2 linked regions of the Canis lupus familiaris genome follow. The protein of the gene in region 1 interacts with the protein of each later gene in a pairwise test. Links are inferred from orthologs where the notes say so. Each region holds a gene or a part of one and is shown in the gene's direction. Other genes may lie near its edges.

The links.
Region 2: the proteins of PLD1 (region 1) and PEA15 interact in a two-hybrid assay, tested with the Homo sapiens proteins (2 studies listed by BioGRID). The link is inferred for Canis lupus familiaris from reciprocal best matches to the Homo sapiens genes PLD1 and PEA15.

Annotation. Positions count from the first base shown.
Region 1 is NC_049255.1:36,367,694-36,372,001, reverse strand, and holds the start of PLD1 (phospholipase D1), read left to right. Parts: upstream 1-1,221; 5' UTR 1,222-1,244; intron 1,245-1,673; exon of another isoform or gene 1,674-1,725; intron 1,726-4,308. UniProt on the Homo sapiens protein: Function as phospholipase selective for phosphatidylcholine. Implicated as a critical step in numerous cellular pathways, including signal transduction, membrane trafficking, and the regulation of mitosis.
Region 2 is NC_049259.1:22,833,786-22,838,310, reverse strand, and holds the start of PEA15 (astrocytic phosphoprotein PEA-15), read left to right. Parts: upstream 1-1,651; 5' UTR 1,652-1,825; intron 1,826-2,407; exon of another isoform or gene 2,408-2,463; intron 2,464-4,525. UniProt on the Homo sapiens protein: Blocks Ras-mediated inhibition of integrin activation and modulates the ERK MAP kinase cascade. Inhibits RPS6KA3 activities by retaining it in the cytoplasm. Inhibits both TNFRSF6- and TNFRSF1A-mediated CASP8 activity and apoptosis.

The DNA of each region.
Region 1 (4,308 bases):
GTCATATGCGTATCCAGATGGATATATGATAGGATTTCATCGTCAGTTTTTTCTTGACATGTCTGAAGACAGGCAAGATTCGGGAAAAACACCAGCAACAACCAACAAATCCCCTCAGGAAAACAGAAATAATTACATCCAGAATCATACTGTATCTAAAATTTGTCTTCGGCACTCCATAGCGGACTGTTACTATGATTCCTCTAGCAAGAAGAAGCAGAAATTCAATTACTGCGAGGGGACTTAAATAATTTTATTTTTAATTATAGTTACTAGAAAGACCTGTTGTCTCAGGTTAGTGCCAAATGTTTTAATGATGACACTTAGGCATTTGGGATGCCATCCTGGAGGCTGCTGCTTCTCTATCAGGAGCATCACAGTTTCTAAAGACAAGCTTGGAAGAGCGCAGTTGATTGTGTGCGGAACACTTACCAAATCATCTGTGACTAATAAAACTTGAGAAAGAAGAGGAGGAAAGGCTCTTCAGCCTTTTAGCAACATGCTGGTCTTACCCTTGCCAAACTCTTCTTAGGCAATACTGCGCGCGGAGGGCCATGTGCTTAATTGTAAAAACCTGTCAGTATCCGAGGATTTTTTTTTTTTTTTAAAGACATCAATCATTTCTGTCAACAAGGAAGCAGGGACGGCTGTGTGACTCTCCTATCATTAGGAAAAGATGCGCTCAAGAGAAAAAAATGTAGTCTTGGGAGGGATGAGCAACTATAGGTTACAGGGGAAAAAAAAAAAAGAGTTCCAGACTGCGATTTCACTCCCCCTCCCCTCCCCCTCCCCCTCCCCTGGGCTGGAATATTCTATTTTTCGTTTCATGTAGTTCCACGTTTGCAGTAAGACATTATGCAACTCAGCCCGCCTCCGCCGGGCAGTGTCCACTGGGGGCTTCCAAGGGGCATCGTCGCGGGCACGTGGGCGCAGGCGGAGGGGCGGCGGCCTGGGCCTGGGCCTCGGCCCCGGGGAGGGGGCAGCGAGCCGGACCCCGAGGCCTCCCGTCGGCCCGAGGCAACAGGTTCCCTTTCTCCTAGACCGTTGTGGGCGGCCCCAAGGGCACGGAGCTTGCTGCACTGAAGCGCTGCAGGGGCCCGATGCCAAGTTTCCGTGCTTTACTCCCGACTCCTCCTTCCCTGCTAAGATCTCGAGTGTTCAAGAGCTCGCAGGGCGTCGTCTCCGGGTGGGCTGCAGGCTGCAGGCTGCTCGCCCCTCGCCCCGGCCCCGTGGCCTCGCCCCAGGTGAACAGTAGCACCCGGCGAGCAGGTGGGACGGAGGCTCGCAGGGGACGTGGGGCGGCGGCTCCACCTCTTGGCCGCGTCGCCCCAAGTTAGGACACCTGTCGGCCCGCGGGTCCCTCCTGCAACGTGGCTGCGCCGGGGCCGGGGGCTTGGGGTCCCCGCGAGCAGTCAGCGTAGGGCCCGCCGAGGAGCCTGCGTCCGCGCGGCTGGGCGACACCCGGGCCGGCCCCGAGGGACCGGGAGAGGGAGGAGCGAGGCCGGGCCGCTGCCCCAGGGCCCCCCCCCCGCCCTGCGCCCTGCGCCCCGGCCGGCACCGCCTCGCCCCACCCCTGTCCGGCCAAGGCGGCCGCGAGTTCCGGCGGGAGCGCAGCGCGGCCCCCCCCGCCCCCTCCTGCCCCCCCCGCCCCCCTCGGCCAGCGGTGCCAGGGGCCCGGCCCGGAGCCGCCGCAGCGCGCAGGTGCCCCGCCCGCCTGCCCCGCAGGTAGGACCTGCTTCCCGCCGCCCGCGCTCCGTCCCTCCGTCCCGCCGTCCCTCCGTCCCGCCCCGGGCAGCCGGCCGCTCCCGCCCCCCTCGGCCTCGGCCGCCGCGGCCCCGAGGGACCAGCCTCCCCGCGGCCCCGGTGCGCGCCCTCGGGCCCGTCCTGGCGCCGCCGCCGCGCTTGGAGCGCGCTTCTCCCCGGCGGCCGCTGCGGGGGCTGGGGGAGGGGAGCTGGGGGGCGGGGGGCTCCGGGGCGCGGGGCGCTGGGGGGCTCCGGGGGGGCGGGCTCGGGGGGGTGCTGGGGGCTCCTAGGGGGCGGGGCGCTGGGGGGACTCCGGGGGAGGTGCTGGGGGCTCCTGGGGGGCGGGGCGCTGGGGGGACTCCGGGGGGGCGGGCTGGGGGCGGGGCGCTGGGGGGCTCCTAGGGGGCGGGGCGCTGGGGGGACTTCGGGGGAGGTGCTGGGGGCTCCTGGGGGGCGGGGCGCTGGGGGGACTGGGGGGGTGCTGGGGGCTCCTAGGGGGCGGGGCGCTTGGGGGACTCGGGGGGTGCTGGGGGCTCCTAGGGGGCGGGGCGCTTGGGGGACTCGGGGGGTGCTGGGGGCTCCTGGGGGGCGGGGCGCTGGGGGGACTGGGGGGGGTGCTGGGGGCTCCTGGGGGGCGGGGCGCTGGGGGGACTCCGGGGGGGTGCTGGGGGCTCCTAGGGGGCGGGGCGCTTGGGGGACTGGGGGGGTGCTGGGGGCTCCTGGGGGGGCGGGGAGCTGCAGGGACTCCGGGGGGGGGCGAGGCTGCTGCGGGTCTCGGGGTCTCCGGAGGAGGGTGGCGGGGGCGAGGCTGCTGCCCCGGGCCGGTGCGGGTCGGGGCGCCCGGTGCCACCGGCCGGGGAGGGGGAGGGGGAGGGCGGGGACGCGGGGTGTGGGCCGGGCGCAGGGAGAGGGCGGGTGTGCGTGTCCCCGCCGCGCGGTGCCGCCCGATCCGGGGCCCTTTGCCGCCGCCCTGCGCGGTCCGGGCCGCCCGAGCGAGCCGGTGCCCTGGTCCGGGCCCTCCCGGCCCCCCTGCCCCCGCCGCGACCTCCCGAGGGCCCCGGGGACCAGGTACCCCGCGAGCGCGATGCAGCGAGAGGCAGTTAGGCCGGAAGGGACAGCCTAGGGGTGAAGGGCCTCCGCGGCTGGAGCCGCTCACACCCCAGGTTCACACCCCGCCTGTTGGGATAAAGGCCTCTTTCCATATTAGACGTTTTGTGAGCTACACACACAATTTGTGTGTAGCCTTTAAATGTTGTTTGGGGACCTTTCCGCTAAACGTGTGAGCTCCGATCCGGCCCTCCAGGAGCCACTGCCGCTCGCAGTCCTGTAAAGTGCACAGTAGTCCAGGCCTGGAGGAGGACGCGCCCTTACCGCGTGTGTCCCTGTTCACCGCAGTGACAAGGGCTGTGTAGGGCCCATGGAGGTTTGTTGACTCACTTCAAACTAGGTGGGGGGAGACTCTGCTTCCTGGAAGTTGTCTGGTTCCCCAGTGTGCGTTTCTTAATCAAAATATATCACGAAATTCATTTACCTTCAAGTCTTACAGAGGTTAAGCTCTTTAATTTTTATTGTGGCAAAAAGGTAACAAAATTTGCCATCTTGACCGCCTGTAAGCCTACAGCTCAGTCCCCCGAAGCGCTTTTTCATTGTTAGGTTCTCATCACCACTGTCCATCCGCAGAAGACATGTCATCTGCCTTGTAGGGTTTTCAAAACATGGTGATGCCCTGATGCCGGTGACTGTGCTGCAGGTTTTAGGTTTCTCATGAAAACTACAATGCGTAGAATAGCTCCTTCCCACAGCTTTACGGAAATGCGCTTTTAAGGAGGAAAGGTGAGAAGCCACAGCCAGTTGGTGTTTAGTACATCTTAGCTCCCTCAGGAGAGATCTGCTGAGTTCCTATTAAAGGATAAGCTGGTGAGCTGCTGAAATCTGTATATAAGGGGTATTTTGAAGTTTACCTATCAAGAGGGGAGGAATCCAGGAGGCAGTTACTGTTACTGGTAGTTTCCGTCCCTAATATCTTGCACAGAACTTAAGTACTTCTGTCTCCCTGAGCCCTGCGGGGGCTTGTATCTGGAGGATGCTTGAGCTCAGGTCGTGGCACCCTTTTAGTAACTGGAAGCGGTTTTGGCCAAGCTGGCTGCTGGGTGTGGCAATTTCTTCTGCCCTCCAGGTGTTCACTAAACATTGGTGCTGGAGGACTCAGCACATGAGATATGGCTCTTTAAACTCCCAGTTGGTCTGAGTCATTGTGTTCGGGACACAGCTGTCCCTGTGCCAGGCCTGGTTTTATGGTTACAATCCCCTAAGTGTTAGCACCACACAATAAAATGTATTCTCCAGCTGGGGTGTGGATAAATTATTGTTGCAGAGTGAAAATGAGAAACTTGTAACCTAAATTTCCCATAAGCCTGTGACTTTTCTGATTAGAAAAGGAATTGTACAAATCCTATCTTTTGCTGCAGTGGGAACGCATTCCAGTGTGTTGGGCTCCCTAATCCACAGTGCAGTGTAAAATCTGGATCCCAGATGTTTAGTGCTGGGCCATTCAACAATAGCGTG
Region 2 (4,525 bases), on another chromosome or scaffold:
CGTGAAGAGTGGGGGCTGACGGGGCAGAGGAGGCAGGGAAGGGGCCTGCCCGTCAGTGGAGAGCATCAGAAGCACCTGCAGGATGTGGGTGTCATACTGGGGGCGCAGAAGAGATGAGCAGGACAAGAGGAGACCCGCAAGTGGGCCCCACGAGGATGGGCGGGTGTCACGGGGTGTGTGGAGCTTGGGTCTCGTCCTGGGAGCCAGGAGGAAGGGCACTGATGGGCAGGTGGGCAGAGGGAGGGAAGGGGGCCCCTGGCCCTCACGGCCAGAGGCCACCAGTAGGGCCCGCCCTGCAGAGGAGGCACAGAGTTCTGTCCATGCGGCCCCCCACCCTGCCCCCGGGCCTGGGCGGCTGAGGTTCTGGGCAGGAAGGCTCCCTACGGCCCCCAGCACAGCCCAGGCTGGCGTCCGGGTAAGGGAGTGGGATGCCGTCGGGGGGTGGGGGGGTGGGGGGGGACCAAGGCACTGATTGCCCAGAATTCACAGACGTGACAGTTACGGGCCAGGTACAGAGGTGCCGCTGAGACTACAGGACGGCTAAGTTCAGGAGCCACGTCACTGTCCTGGACAAACCCAGGAAGCGCCCCTGGAGGGGGCGGAGGGCTCCTGCCACCATTCAGTCCTGCGTCTAATACGCCGAGTGGGCCCTGGGCCAACCATAGGCAGCCGGCAGCCCCCACAGCTCAGGGCAGGGCCCCTGCCCATCTGCGGCTGGGTCCCGAGCACCCATCTGCGCCACTCCTGACACTCAGGATTTCTGCGTCTGGGGAGAGCCCTGCATGGGGGGGGGGGGGGGCAGCAGCATGTGCACCCTCCTGGCGAGGGCGCTGGGCGTTGGGGGCATACCCTGCCCCCCGGGAGGGGCAGAGCCAGTGCAAAGCCCCAGCCCCTGTACAGGCGTCACTTTGGGTCTCTGGGTCTCACCGATGGCTCAGAGAAATGGCTTGCGGTCCCAGGACACAGCGCAGGAGACACACAGCCAGGGCACGAGGACGCCCTGCTAGCAGAGGGTGGTGATGGGGGGCAGGGAGGAGGCAGGAGGCCTGTAGACCAGGACGGGGGGCTCCCCAGCTGGAGGTGGCACAGGCCTCTTCCCAGGGCCGCACGGCCGGAGTTGAGGCAACAGCCCTCCGGCTGCAGGTGGGGCGCAGACTGCTGCCCCCCGCCCCCCGTGTTCCTTCCCTGTTTCAGTGTGGCCGAGACTGGGAGGAAAGTCCCCGAGGCGGAGAGGAAGTGAGAGCGCGGCCGGCCGGCAGAGGGGAGGCCGAGCTGAGCGTGGCTTTGCACGGCGGCGTCTATATTTGCACGCTGAGCTCACTGCTGCTCTTTTCCTCCCAGAAAATCAAATTACATCATGGTGGGGGGAGGCCGGCGGGCGGGACATCTGGGGAAGGTGAGAGGGACACGCGGGCATCACCCCGGGGGAGGGCCCAGGTGGAGGGGAGGGGGCCGCCGCCGCGCTGCCGCGGCCGCTCGGGGGATCCGGGGCCTCGGCCTCCGCCGTCGCCTCCCCCGGTGCCCGCGCGCGAGGACGGAGAGGACGAGGCCCGCAGCGGGGTCCGCTCCCCCCCGCCCCCGCAGGCCCCGCCCCCGCAGGCCCCGCCCCGCCGCGCAGGCCCCGCCCCCCGCAGGCCCCGCCCCGGTGACGTCAGCGGCCGGCCGGGCGGGGCGCGCGCGGGGCTGGGGCTCGGGCTCGGGCTCGGGCTCGGCGGGCGGAAGCGGCGGCGGCGGCGGCAGGAGCGGCGGGAGCCGAGCGGAGGCTCCGGACGCTGCCCAGGACCGGGACGCCGGAGACCGCGCCCTGAGCGCTCAGCCCGAGGCGGTGAGGGCGGGGGCCGGGGGGCCGGGGGGCGGGGGGCGGGGGCGGGGGCCGGGGAGCGGGGGTCGGGGCCGGGGTCGGGGCATCGGGCCCGGGGCGCGGGCGGGGCGGGAGCCGACCGGACACACACCTACGGGAGCCCGCGGCACGCGCCGACACACGCCCATGTGACTCGTGCACACACCGCTTCGCACGCAGCAAATCACAGCGGTCCCCGCGCTACGCACCCCCTCCCCCACGGCCTCCATGTGCCCGGCCCCGGGCGACCCGCTGCGGGACGGGCGGGGGGCGGGTCCTGCGGTGCCCCCGGGCGGGATCCGGGGCTGCGATCCGGGGCGGGATCCGGGATCCGGGGCTGCGGTCCGGGGCCCGGGGCCGCGCAGGGCGCTGTGCTGGGCCCGCCGGGCGCCCGGGGCCCCGGAGCGGCCGCTGTCTGCGCCCCGGGGCGGCGGAAGGCCGGAGGAGGGGGCGGGAGAGAGAGAAGGAGCATGAGTCAGCCGAGGATGGAGCCCGAGTCGGGGGGAGAGAACGAGGGGAATGTGCGCGAGGGACGGGGACGCGGCCGGCGGCGGGCGGCGGGGGGAGGGCGCGCCCCGGAGCTCGCGCTGGGAAACGGCTGAATCTGTGGGTTTTGTGTCTGGGTGAGTGGCCCCCGGGCCGTCAGAGCGATTAGCTGTAGCTGCTCTTCCCTTTGTGGCCAAGCGCCGCGTCGGGGACGGTGCCAGAGCCCCCGAGGCCGCCAGAGCCCCCGCGGCCTGCTTGCTCGGCCGCACTGCCCTGGGTGCCCTGCCCTGGGTGCCCTCCCTGGGTGCCCACCCCAGCACCCTTGGGGAAGGCCGAGGCCATGCCTCCTAGGCAGACCCTCAGCACCACCTGGGCACAGCCAACCCGCTCAGGCTCCTCCCCACCACAGTGATGATCCCTGTACAGCTGGGAATCTCACTCCTTCCTGATGGGTGTTGGGGTAGGGGCCCCGAGTGTTCAGACACGGACACTGGGGCACAGGCCCCCCCCCCCAAGTCCTCAGTATTCAGGGCCAGCACCACGTGACATGGGATGGAAGCCCACCGGAGGGAGAGGAGGGGGGGAGGAGCTGGATGCAGGGGAGAGACAGGGAGGAGACACAGCAGCAGGCGAGGCCCTCCCCTCCCCCCTCCCCCGTCCCCCCCACACCAGGAGGCAGCCCCCCCCCATCGCACACTCCATGCCCCCACCTGGGTCAAGTCCCACAGGCTCGGCCCAGTGTCCGTGCCCAGGGCTAAGCCTCTTGCTCTCAGGCCACGCTGAACCGTTCGAGGCCCCAGGACCCATCTCCCCTCTGGCGGCTGAGTCTTAGAGCCCCCCGCTTTTGTCACAGGGTGAGGCTGAACGGAAGCTACGGGCAGAGGTCCACGACGTGTGACACTCAGGATAATGAGGGGCGAACGAGGGGCCCAGGTGGAAACTGAAGTGGGCCCCATGGGCCCCCCTCCTTGCCTGCCGCCCCTCCCCCAGGCTGGGGCCTCCCTCCCGGCTCCTGGGACACACCCCCACCCGCCACCCAGGCCACCTGGTCCACCCGCCCCCGCCCGCAGGCCACAGGTAGCCAGCAGGGGGGCAGTGGCTCCTGAGCCTCGGGCTTTCTTCCCAAGTCGACTGGGGGTTTGGAAGGCACCGCTAGGGATGATCCAGAAGTGCTGTCGGGACGCCCGGCCTTCTCGGGGTGCTGCGCCCCCCGCGGTGGTGTCCCCTTGGCCCGCCGCCCCCAGCGCTCCCCGAGCCCCAGCCGGCCCGCTCTGGCTCCCGCCCGAGGACCAGCAAGCAGATCCCTGCCCCTCCTCCCCTGCGTCCCCAGCGGGTCCCACGTCCGTGGGGCTCCACCTGGGCAGCTGGGGGGCGGCGGAAGGAAGGAAGGAAGGAAGGTAGGTGCGAGGAAGCAGGGAGCAGAGCGCAGAATGATCGGGAGGGAAGGGGACGGACTTCCTGGCAGCGGCCGGGCCGGTTCCTGCCCGGTATCCTGTCCCAAGAAGGGCCTCCGCCCAGGCTGCCGGGTGATCCCGGGAGGGGAGGGGACTCGCCGGGAGGAAGGTGACGGTGACCGGCCCGGGCGCAGCCCGCCGCGGTCGCACCAGCCGGGACGAGCGCTGGGCAGTGCGACCTGAGGGCCGCGTGAGGAGGTGCACCTCCCTGCACCCCAGGATTCCCCAGGGGACCGGCAGTGGCCCTGCGGCCGCCAGCCGCCTCCCCGCCCCCTCCCCACGGCCGGCCCTCCTCACTCACCACTCCCCGCCCCCTCCCGTCCAGTGGTGTCATTGTCCTGAGCGCTGGGGGGCACCCAGAACCGAGGTTGCCATGGCAGCCGCTGAGTCCCGGGCCGCCCCCCAGGGTCTGTCCTTTGCCGCCTCCTGGCCGTTCCCAGGCCTGCCTCCATTCCGCAGGGTCTCCTCCGCCGTCCCCTCCCCTCTGGACGTGGGCCTGTGCCTGCAGACCTTCCTCACGCTCTTCACACACACGCACGCCCGGGGCTGACACGTGCACATCCGTGCCCTGACCATGCACCCCTCCCCCGCACCTGTGCCCCCCCCCCCGCCGGGCCCCACATCCACTGCAGGGTCCCACCCCCGTGCGCCCCCCCCACCCCGCTCCTGGGGCCTCCTGGAGTCCGCTGCTGCCCGCGCCCCCGGCCATGGGTGCCGTGGGTGGCTTGCTCACCACCCTGAGCCC